Linked DNA regions of Yarrowia lipolytica. The protein of the gene in region 2 purifies or fractionates together with the protein of the main gene of each other region. This does not show direct contact. Links are inferred from orthologs where the notes say so. Each region holds a gene or a part of one and is shown on either strand. Other genes may lie near its edges.

What was found.
Region 1: the proteins of YALI1_E24513g (region 2) and YALI1_F27667g purify together in Saccharomyces cerevisiae (affinity purification with mass spectrometry; 3 studies listed by BioGRID). This does not show direct contact. The link is inferred for Yarrowia lipolytica from reciprocal best matches to the Saccharomyces cerevisiae genes UPA2 and NHP2.

What each region holds. Positions count from the first base shown.
Region 1 is NC_090775.1:2,763,285-2,768,767, reverse strand, and holds YALI1_F27667g (uncharacterized protein), read right to left. Parts: upstream 2,053-5,483; coding exon 1,585-2,052; downstream 1-1,584. Other genes in the region: YALI1_F27686g (uncharacterized protein), read left to right, coding at 168-1,196; YALI1_F27663g (uncharacterized protein), read left to right, coding at 2,377-4,734; YALI1_F27574g (uncharacterized protein), read right to left, coding at 4,873-5,483. UniProt on the Saccharomyces cerevisiae protein: Non-catalytic component of the H/ACA small nucleolar ribonucleoprotein (H/ACA snoRNP), which catalyzes pseudouridylation of rRNA and is required for ribosome biogenesis.
Region 2 is NC_090774.1:2,448,389-2,454,635, reverse strand, and holds YALI1_E24513g (uncharacterized protein), read left to right. Parts: upstream 1-3,288; coding exon 3,289-3,297; intron 3,298-3,351; coding exon 3,352-4,497; downstream 4,498-6,247. Other genes in the region: YALI1_E24532g (uncharacterized protein), read left to right, coding at 1,405-3,096; YALI1_E24487g (uncharacterized protein), read right to left, coding at 4,675-5,898.

The DNA.
Region 1 (5,483 bases), on a different chromosome or scaffold from region 2:
GTCTACGCCAGCTACCTCATTGCCTTGCTTCTGTAACACCCTCTTACTACAAGAGCAACGCTATTTCTCTGCTGGCTTAATGAGCTGTCCGTCCCAAACTCCCCCACAACGCAAACTCAAGTGTGTACGTGCATGAAATTTCACACTCATCACATTATCACACCACCATGGTCCACAAAGCCGAGTACCTGGAAGAACACGAGACCCAGATCTCCTCCATTCTGAGCGGCGGTTACGCCCACCCTCTGTCTCGACAGTGGCAGCAGAAGAACCGCCTCACCAAGGATATGTTCATCTATCCTCTTTTCGTCACTGATGATCCCGAGGAGGAGACTCCTATCAGCTCTCTTCCCGGCCAGAAGCGATGGGGCGTCAACAAGCTGGTGCCCTACGTCGACTCTCTGGTCAAGAAGGGCCTCCGATCTGTCATTCTTTTCGGTGTTCCTATGAAGGAGGGTGTTAAGGATCTTGAGGGAACTGCTGCGGATGATCCCGAGGGACCCGTTATTCAGGCCACCAAGGCTCTCAAGAAGGCCTTCCCTGACCTGTTTGTCATGTGTGACGTTTGCCTGTGCGAGTACACCTCGCACGGTCACTGCGGCGTTCTTCGAGAGGACGGAACTGTTATCCGAGACACAACTGTGCGACGTTTGGCTGCCGTGGCTGTCAATTACGCCAAGGCAGGAGCTGACTGTGTGGCACCCTCGGACATGATTGACGGTCGAATCCACGACATCAAAAAGGGCTTGCTCAAGGCCGGTCTTGCCCACAACGTCATGGTTATGAGCTACACTAAGTTCTCCGGAAACCTGTACGGACCTTTCCGAGAGGCTGCCTGCTCTGCTCCCAGCCACGGAGACCGAAAGCGATACCAGCTCCCCGCTGGCGGTCGAGGTCTCGCTCGACGAGCTCTTGCTCGAGACCTGGCCGAAGGTGCCGATGCCGTCATTGTCAAGCCTTCCACCTTTTACCTGGATATCGTGGTGGACGCTGCTGAGATCTGCAAGGACGTGCCTATTGCTACCTACCAGGTTTCCGGAGAGTACGCCATGATCCACGCAGCTGCCGAGAAGGGCGTTGTTGATCTGGAGGTGATGGCCTTCGAGGCGGCCTACGGTAACCTGCGAGCCGGAGCCAACCTCCTTATCTCTTACTTTACCCCCGACTTTCTCGAGTGGTTGGACCACCACCACTAAGGTGACACTACTAAGACGACAAGGCCCGATGACGAAGTAATGAGACCATGCCCCTAGAGTATCTAGATAATTATTGATGAAGAAACGAGAAGATATATTACAGCAGCAACGCCCTCCACTCGTGGATCCAACTACAATACAGAAAAAAGCACAAGTACAGTCCTTAATAGTGTATGAAGTATCTACAGTACCGGTACTTGTACATACTGTAGCGTCTGACATTGAAGGAGGTACTGCTGCACTCGGACAATCCCACTACGAACAACAAATCGAATAGGTAACATTCTATACATAATTTAGTCCGACTATCCTAACCATCGGACCCTACTGTCAAGATTAGTTGACACCCTCTTCCTTCCTTTCTCATGCTAGTGTACATTATAAATAACTAATCCTCGAGCTTCTTGACGTCCTTGACAATCTCGTCAAAGTTCTCCTTGTACTCGACCTTGGTGTCGGCCTTTTTACTCTTGCCTCCGCCGGGAACAATCATGACGGTGGAAGTGGGTCGCTTAGTAGCACCGGCAGCTCCGAGATCCTCCTTGGAGGGGATGAAGAGGTAAGGAACACCGTTGTCCTCACAGAGAACGGGAATGTGAGAGACGACATCCATGGGAGAAATGTCTCCAGCGATGATGACAAGACCCTTCTCGCCCTTTCGGAGAGCCTTGACAACCTCCTTGACACCTCGCTTAACGTGCTTGGCCTTGGAAGCCTTCTTCACGGTCTTGAGCACCTTCTTGTTGAGCTTCTTGGGGGCAAGAGGCTTGGCGAAGGGCAGCAGAGCCTCCATTCGAGCGTCGTAGTTGTCGACCTCGTCAATCTCAACGGTGATATCTCCCTTGTCTTTGCCCATTGTTGTAGTGTGATGTGTGAGACTGCAGGATGAAAAAAAAATTTAGCTACAGCGCTTGAAAAAACTTATTAGGGTTCAGAGGTTATGAGCATCCAGGAATACATGCACACAAGATCAGAATTAAAAAGTAAACAGATAGACAGCTTACGGACATGATTACTATTAATGATACCATTATTGGGTTATGAGCCGTTTACACACTCCTGATAAATTTTTCAGATCCCCAGCTCCTCCCAAAACAATCTACCCTAACCACGACGCCATGCATTACACAACCTTGATATATCAGTAGCACCATTCGTTGCGACAGATCAACCACCAGAGATGAAGTTCTACATCGATGATCTGCCGGTGTTGTGGCCATACCCTCGGATCTATCCCGAGCAGTATGCCTACATGTGCGACATCAAGAAAACCCTGGACGTGGGAGGCAACTGCATCTTGGAAATGCCTTCAGGAACAGGCAAGACTGTCTCCCTGTTGTCTCTGACAGTGGCGTACCAGCAACACTATCCCGAGCATCGAAAGATCATTTATTGTTCCCGAACAATGTCGGAGATCGAGAAGGCTCTGGCTGAGTTGAAGAACCTCATGAAGTTTCGAACTGAGACTCTAGGCTTTGAGGAGGACTTTAGAGGGCTGGGTCTGACCTCACGAAAGAACCTGTGTCTGAATCCCAATGTGCGATACGAAAAGAAAGGTTACATTGTCGACGAGAAGTGCCGAGCCATGACATCTGGAATTGCCAAGCAGAAGCTGGCTGCAGGAGAAGACGTTACTCTATGTGAATACCACGAGAACATGAACGACATTGAGCCTCACAACTACATTCCACCTGGTGTTTTCACCTTTGAGGACATTTTGGCGTATGGCGAGGAGCACAAGACATGTCCTTATTTTACTGTGCGTCGAATGATGGCCTTCTGCAACGTCATCATCTACTCTTATCATTATCTACTCGATCCCAAGATCGCCGACCGAGTTTCCAAGGAGCTGAGCAAAGACTGCATTGTCATTTTTGATGAGGCCCATAATATCGACAACGTCTGCATTGAGGCTCTGTCTGTCGACATTACTGAAGACTCCTTGAAACGAGCCACTCGGGGAGCAAACCATCTGGCCAAGAAGGTCAGTGAGGCCCGATCCAGCGACTCTGAGAAATTGAAAAATGAATACAACAAACTGGTGGATGGATTGCGAGATCTGGAATCCGGAGAACAAGAAGATACGTTTCTCGCTAACCCTGTGCTCCCTGAAGATCTTATTTCGGAAGCTGTGCCTGGAAACATTCGAAAGGCAGAACATTTCGTGGCCTTCTTGAAACGATTCATTGAATATCTCAAGAGTCGAATGAAGGTGCTTCATGTCATTTCCGAAACCCCTGCATCGTTCTTGAAACATCTTCGAGATTTGACATACATTGAACGAAAGCCTCTTCGATTCTGCGCTGAGCGTCTATCGTATCTGGTCAGAACCCTCGAGTTGACTCACGTCGATGATTACACTGCTCTCAAGGAGATTGCTGTGTTCGCCACCTTGGTGTCTACCTACGACACCGGCTTCCAGCTCATTCTGGAGCCCTTTGAGACCGATCAGGCCACCGTTCCTAACCCCATTTTGCATCTTACATGTTTGGACGCCTCCATTGCTATCAAGCCTGTCTTTGATCGGTTCTCAAGCATCATCATCACATCCGGTACCATCTCCCCTCTAGATATGTACCCGAAAATGTTGAACTTCGAGACTGTGGTTCAGGAGTCGTACACCATGACACTGGCACGGCGAGCCTTCTGTCCTCTCATTGTGACCAAGGGTTCAGACCAGGTAGCCATCAGTTCTCGATTCGAGATCCGAAACGATCCTTCAGTTGTCCGAAACTACGGTAACCTTCTGATTGAATTTTCTAAGATCACACCTGATGGCCTTGTCGTCTTCTTCCCTTCATATCTTTACATGGAGTCTATCATTTCCATGTGGCAGACTATGGGTATTCTGGACGAAGTGTGGAAGTACAAACTCATTCTGGTCGAGACTCCTGATGCTCAGGAAACCTCTCTTGCCTTAGAAACTTACCGAACTGCCTGCTCCAACGGTCGAGGCGCTGTCATGCTCTGTGTCGCTCGAGGAAAGGTTTCGGAAGGTATCGATTTCGACCACCAGTTTGGAAGAACTGTGCTTATGATTGGTGTTCCTTTTCAGTACACCGAGTCGCGTATCTTGAAGGCTCGTCTCGAGTTTTTGCGAGATAACTACCACATTCGAGAGAACGACTTCTTGTCTTTCGATGCCATGCGCCATGCTGCCCAGTGTCTGGGACGAGTCTTGCGAGGTAAAGATGACTACGGTGTCATGGTGTTGGCTGACAGACGTTTTGCCAAGAAGCGAAACCAGCTGCCCAAATGGATCAACCAGGCCATTTTGGATGCTGACACAAATCTGTCCACAGATATGGCTCTAGCTGCAGCCAAGAAGTTTTTGCGAACTATGGCCCAGCCTATGAACAAGGAAGACCAGGAGGGTGTTTCAGTGTGGTCATTGGAGCAGCTTCAGGAGTACCAGGGATCCAAAAAGGATGGAGGTTACCGACTTGCCCCCGAGGATGCCATGGATATCGATGAAAAGGATCTTGAAGAGGGTCTCAGAGAAGTCGAACAAGCCAAAAAAGAAATTGCTGCTCGATAACAACGGTACGTACAGATATCCGTAGCAGCATATAATATAACAAGCATTATTTAATTAAAACACAAGAGCAGTCCACAGGCACAGTCAATGCAAGGTTATACAATACAATAATAATATACATAATTTATGATCATCCTCTTACTCCTCCATTTCAACCTCTTCCGCTTCCTCACCCTCAGCCACAGTCACTGTGAACTTCTTCTCGGCATCCGCATCAACATACGAGTCGCAAATGCACCAAACGTGACCACTGACCTCTCCATGCTCGGGGAACGAGACATCGATGTTGAAAGTCTGGGACTCGAGAGGCAAGGTGACTCGCTTGATACCAAAAATCTGCTTTGTCTTGGTATTTCCAACCACGATCCACCAGTTCTCCGTCTTGGGCTGGGGGAACAGGGGAGCAACCACCTCCAGATTAGCACGCTCATCCTCCTCGTACACATCTCTCTCCACAGTGACCTCGATGGTTCCGACATCGTTAGTAGCGTAAGAGTCAGCAAGCTCATAGCTGAGCTGAATACTTGGGTAGGCGTCCACAAAGTCAATGACACGCTTGAGTTGCTTCGCAGTAAAGTTGAGAATGCCCTTGAGCTTGTCCTCGTCCAGCTCGGAAATGTCTCCGACTGCCTCAACCCCCGCCCCCCTGAGATCGTCGATGATTTCGGGAGTGAAAAAAGGCACCTGTCGCAGAGGCGAATCAGACTCAAGAGTAGCTTGAACAACCATTTGGGACAGGTCCATTGCGT
Region 2 (6,247 bases):
ACCCCACATTTCTGAGTCCCCGTGCTTTTTTCTTTTCTGTAGCACTTCTCGGCGGATGTGCGATACACTCTCCGGGTGTGGCTGAAGACCCAAAGATAAGACTTGACACTAGGACTGAACAGAAGACTGATACGAACTAGAGGTTTTGTTATCTATGACCCATTCATAGAGTAGTAATCAAGGGTTGTACACAAGCCTTCTGTTCGATATCCCATTGTGTTTGAATCCTTGTCTCTAGTCTACAACAAGTATGTGGCCTTGTGCTTTGCGTATCTATGACACGGCTTTTGCTCCCAGCGGCTTGCTAGGTTGGTAGAGCCGTGCCACTAGAGCTTGCGTGTGATTCAGCGGACATCTGGGTTCGTTTCGTTTGGTGCATTTACAGCAATCCAGCGAAGTACTCTCCCATCCTTGTCTGAACGTGACCATATTGAGTTTCATCGTGGAGGTATATACCATAGAGAAGATACAAGTTGTACCATGAAGGAGACTGTTTGCGTTGTTAATATTGATACCTGTACGTGTAAGAACGAATGAAGCAGACGTTGCTACCCGAATATCTTTCAATATTCGTAGAGCCCAAGTACAAGTATACCCAAGTACAAGTACGCAGTACACTCTGATGTGTGTCCTGTCACCAGAACCTCACCCTTCGTAAACCATACACGTGACCAGGACTACGAAAGGCCGCTTTTTGCTCTCTCTCTCTCTCTCTCTCTCTCTGGAGATCAAGTCAAGAAAGAAAAAAAAGGCCAGATGTATTCCCTCTCTTTCATCACATCGCACCTCAGTATGCTTCCTAAAAGAATCGCACATAGCAATGCTCTCAAACAGGTCATCGACACTCAAAAATGCTCATGCGACAAAAATAAATATATCTGGCAAATCGTCGAACCCAGACAGCCAATTTGACATTGTCAGAATTCTATTTTAACACCTATCTCATCTTCTTTCTTCAACAGGTGACCTCCCCGCATGCACTTCCCAAACGAGCTTATCCGCCGATATCGTATGACGGAACATCCAAAAGAAGGCATCCGAGAGCTTAACCGAGTACTTGCACTTGTACCCCGCAAAATTCGATATCCCCATACGATACAGATTTTCGTCATCAGGGGATACAGAAATGCCGATACCGGAAGGAAAATTATATCTTTAGGGTCCCCAAGTTCCAAGGAGTACAAATATGTAAAAAAATCTGCAAAAGCTCCTCTGAAATGTCCATTGATGACACCTCTCTACTACCCCACAAAGTCGATCTCATGTACGCTAAACTCAAGGCTCTCTCGAGACATCCGCTTCTTCTGAGGTAAAAGCGCTCGATGTATATAGAACAAATGAGTTGAGTGCAAGTAGTGCTTCTTTCATCTTCACGGTCGTCACATCTCACACATCACACGCAAAATGAAACACTTCGCCAAAACGAATCTCGTCAATCTCTACCTCGAATCTCTCCTGGCTAGCAACCCGCAACTGGGTCTAGTGGAAGATCAGAGAATCATTTATTACAAGAAGAAAAAGTCGGACAAGGTCCGAGTTATTTCGGGCGGCGGATCGGGCCATGAGCCCAGCTGGAGCGGTCTTGTGGGCTCGGGACTACTAGATGCTGCTGTCTGTGGAGACATTTTTGCATCTCCTTCGGCCAGACAGGTTATGGCCGGTATCAGAGCCTCGGAACCCGACAGTGGCGTTATTCTGGCAATCACAAACTACACGGGCGACAAGCTGCACTTTGGACTGGCCCAAGAGAAGTTCCAGGCCGAGTCTGGAGGCATGCAGGTGGCAGTCATCCCTGTGACTGATGATGTCGCTCTCGGACGAACCCGGTCCTCAAAGGTCGGAAGACGGGGACTGGCGGGAAACCTGCTTGTTCTCAAGTCCATGGGAGCCTGTGCTGAGGCTGGAGGTTCCTTTGATCACGTCTCCAATGTAGGACGGGCAGTGAACGACGGACTGGTCACGGTGGGATGTTCTCTGGACCACTGCAGTGTTCCTGGTCGAACAGACGTGGACTTTCATATCCCTCATGACAAGGCTGTACTTGGAATGGGTATTCACAACGAACGAGGACTTGTTGAGGTCGACATTCCCGAACGGCCTGAAGATCTCATCAAACAGATGTTGACTCTTTTGCTAGACCCCAACGACAAGGAGCGAGCCTTTGTGTCCTTCAAGGAGAAGGACGAGGTTATTCTGCTGGTCAACAACTTTGGTGGGCTGTCTAATCTCGAGAATGGAGCCCTAACTCAAGTGGCCCTGTCTGTTCTGGAGCAGGATTATAACATTGTTCCCTGTCGAGTCCTGTCTGGAGCCTTTGAGACGTCGCTAGACGGCCCAGGCTTTTCAATCACTCTTTACAACCCTTCATACTCTGCAACTCTCGTTGAAAAATTATCTAGCAAACAGCTTCTAGAGCTCATCGATGCTCCAACTGATGCTCCTGCTTGGCCAAGGGTCGGTGTCAACGAGCCCAAGAAACAGAAGGTGCTCTCCAAGCAGGAGGAGCTAGCGGCCAAGGACTGCGAAGAGTCGCCTTATGACGAGCTTGTTTCGCGTATTTGCAAACATGTCATTTCAATCGAGCCTTCTCTCACCACCTGGGATACTGTAATGGGTGATGGAGACTGCGGTATGGCAGCCAAAGACGCGGCACTTCACATTCAAAAGGAGTGGAATTCCCGCAAGCAGTCTTCTTTAAAGGGAACTCTTAATCTCCTCTCGTCCTGCCTGGATGACATGGGTGGCTCTCTGGGAGCCATTCTGGGCATCTTTGTTAGTGCTCTCATCTACAACCTGCAAAAGGAAGGAGTTGAACAGGCTCCAAAGGCGGTTGGATTGGCTTCAAAATCTCTCCAGACACACACACAGGCTCGCAAGGGTGACCGAACGGTCATGGACTCTCTGATTCCCTTCTGTGAAGTCTACGCCTCGTCTGGAAGTCTTCAACATGCAGCCAAAGCCGCTCAGGAGGGAGCAGAAAGCACAAAGACCCTCAAAGCTCAGTATGGACGAGCCAGTTATGTTTCAAAGACCGCAGATGTTCCCGATCCCGGAGCCTGGCTGTTTGCCGCAGTTGTTGACCAGCTTTCCAAGTAGACGCGACACCAGCAAACCAAGCAATTTTGATATATTTGATGAATACGAAGTTATTAACTAAACGTCTAAGTAGTCCCAGGTAAACCAAGTAATCCCAACTGTATACACATCCTCCCACCTGCATCAAAGATCACGAAGTCTAATCGAAATTATTTTGAAATTTTCATCAAGCACACCACACCACAAGAAGACATGTCAGAAGTGAGTATGAGCGAGTCAAGAGCGCCAATTTGGATCCCACAATAACTAACCGAGCTCAAGAGAAAGACTCCTGAGGAGCACAAGGCCAAGAAGAAGGCCAAACAGCAGGAGTTTGAGTCCACCCTCACACCCAACCAAGAGAGCGAGCTCCAGACCACGACTCCCAAGGAGGCTCAGCTTTCTGTGACTCTCGTTGTGCCCTCCACTTGCATTTCAGAGACTGTTGTCAAGTCTTACCAACAAGCTGTCCACACTGCTTACCAGATTGCTCGAGCTGCGGTGGCCTACAACGTGGACGAGATTGTCATCTACGAACCCTCAGAGCGGCCCGACATCAAGCAGGAGAAGACCAAAAAGTCCGAGACTAGCTCGTTTGGAAAGCCCAAGATTGTCTTCAACTCTGACGCATCTAACGACCACAAGCCCGAGCTGTCCGAGCGAGCTGTGACACTGGCTTCTCTGCTGCAGTTTTTCGTCACCCCCGATTACCTGCGAAAGTCCATTTTCACCCCGGAAACCACTACAACCAACTTTGAGTACGCCAAGAAGCTGCCCAAGCTGCTGCTACCGTTCATGGAGTCGCGAGACGCCCGATACAAGGAGGGCATGTCGATCCCAATGATCCTCAACAAGAACGTCAAGAGCAAGATCTCCAAACAAAAGAGAAACGTCAAGAAGGCTGAGGCCAAGGGTATCGAGCTGCAGCCACCAACCGTTGATGGTGCCACTCCTTACATCAACATTGGCGCTGCAGAGCCCCACGAGCTCGAATATGGCCAGACCGTTCCTGTGGGCGTCAGAGTGACTGTGGATACCAAGGAGAACAAGGTTGTGTCAGCCACAGAGGCTTACGGACAAGATACCGGGTACTCTGTTCGTGTGGCCACCGACTTCTCTCACATCTTCACCATGCCCTCTACTCCCGAGGGATACGACTACACCGTGTGGTGTCCTGGTGGAGAGTTCCGACAGAGCGAGCTTGCACCGGAAACACAGCCCAAGCCCATTCTGGCCCTGCCCCGAACTGTCAAGCGGCCTCTGTTTGTGTTTGGACAGTGGGATCACGTCGAGGACGCCGTCAAGCACGACACTGCGCTTGGAGTGTCTGGAGCCAAGGAGCTGTTCGATAGTAAAGTGGATTTCAAGAGACCTGTTCGAGTGGAAGACGGAGTTTTTGTTGCTCTTGATCGGCTGGCATAGGAGGATGCGAGTATGGCTACTTGCACGATAGTACAAGTTTCTACGCGCGTACATGTGGTATGGGTGCATATAATGTATATTAATAACATAGATCGGTTAACAGTGAGTTACATGAAGGATGCAAGTTGATGGAGTAGAAATGGTAGGGACCCTAAGGGTTATACGACTTCTCGAGGATTAGAACACAGTGCCATCGCTCTGAATCTCAATAGGAGGCCCGCCGTTGGATCGCTTTTCCTTGGCAATTTCACGACCAGCCTTCCAAGTGCCAGCCTCCAAAAGTTGGGGCAACACAAGAGGCGTTTCCAGCATAGCATTGACCATGGGAAGAAGGGCATCCAGGAAGCCAACGGTAAGAGCTCTCCACTCGACAATCACGTCAGAGGAGGGCTCAAACTTGGGAAGGTCATTGGCACCACTAAGCGATTGTTTCAGTGCCTCAGGCTTGAGAGTCAGAACCCCGAAATCGACCAGAAGACCTCCGTTTCGGTACTCGGGTAGACCAGTAAGTTGCTCTTCTCCCACAAACTTGAGGCCTCCATACTCCTTCATGGGGACCAGAATGGAGTACGTCAGCCACTGGGTGAGTTTGTGGAAAGGCGTGACAGATCCAGCTTCGTCTCCTGAAGGGTTGGGGAGAGAGGAACATACCCAAGCGTCTCCCAGAGCCTTACCGTTTATCTTGAGTCGTCCCGCAGGCCAAATGGGGCCCAGGCCCTTCATCAGCGCCTCCCAGAGAGTTGCTATCTCGATGGGCTCTTCTGTGCTCTTGAGGTAAGTGATGAGATGACCTGGGCGAGCAGAGGGTCCAAAGAGCTCAGGAGAAGCGATGAGAGCCTTTCCTAGCCGGACGAGCAGATTGTACCGTCCCTCAAGGCCGTCCATCGGGTTCGTCTTGCTTACTTGGAAGCCATCACTGAGCTGGCTGAGGGTGAGCCTTTCTAGGCCGGGACCCGTCACAATATCGGGATCACCAAAGATTCCCGCGGCGAACATGTCGAGGGAGGCAATTGCGATTCCCTCGGATCGCCCTGTCTGCTCTCCGGAGCCTTCTGTGTACTTCCAGGTGGGCCCTGCTCCGGCATCCAGAAGCACAGACACCACAAACAGATCGACCAGTCTAGCTGCAACCTCGTCCTTGGAGACTCCTTTTTTCTCCCAGGACTCAATGAGGGGCTCCAGGCGTTTGTGACCCACGTCAAAGTGTTGCCATCGTCCGTGAGGGGGGATTCTGGAGGCGTCCGACTGGTAGTCTCGTTCAATGAGTTTATGGACGTACTCTGCCACGGCAGGTAGCTTTTCAAAGTCCGCGGTGAAGTTGGTGAGCTTGTCGACCTTGGCCTGGTTGAACACGGCTGTCGACCTATCTCTCACCGAGGGTAGTGTAAGTAGGTAGTCCATGATGGGGCGAACGAGTCAAGATGTGTGTGAGGAAGGTGTATGAGTTGGGGAACGTTGGGAAGTCAAGTAACAACGCACTGTAACGCACACGATAGTCACGATAATGCTTTCCTTTGAAGTGGCAATATTATCCGCCAATCAAGTTGTTGTGATGGTCAGAATGCAGGATGGCTCGCAATGAGAGATAAGGCACTGGATGCATTGCGTGCATAACTCTTATGCCGTCGGGCTCTCCGGAGGGGAAGAGGAGGTCATGTGGCTTCCAGGAGATGTACAAAGATGCAATTGACTTGCTGGAAGTTTTTTGTGACAATTGGGATCGATAAAGATGTGAAAGAAGCCTCTCTTA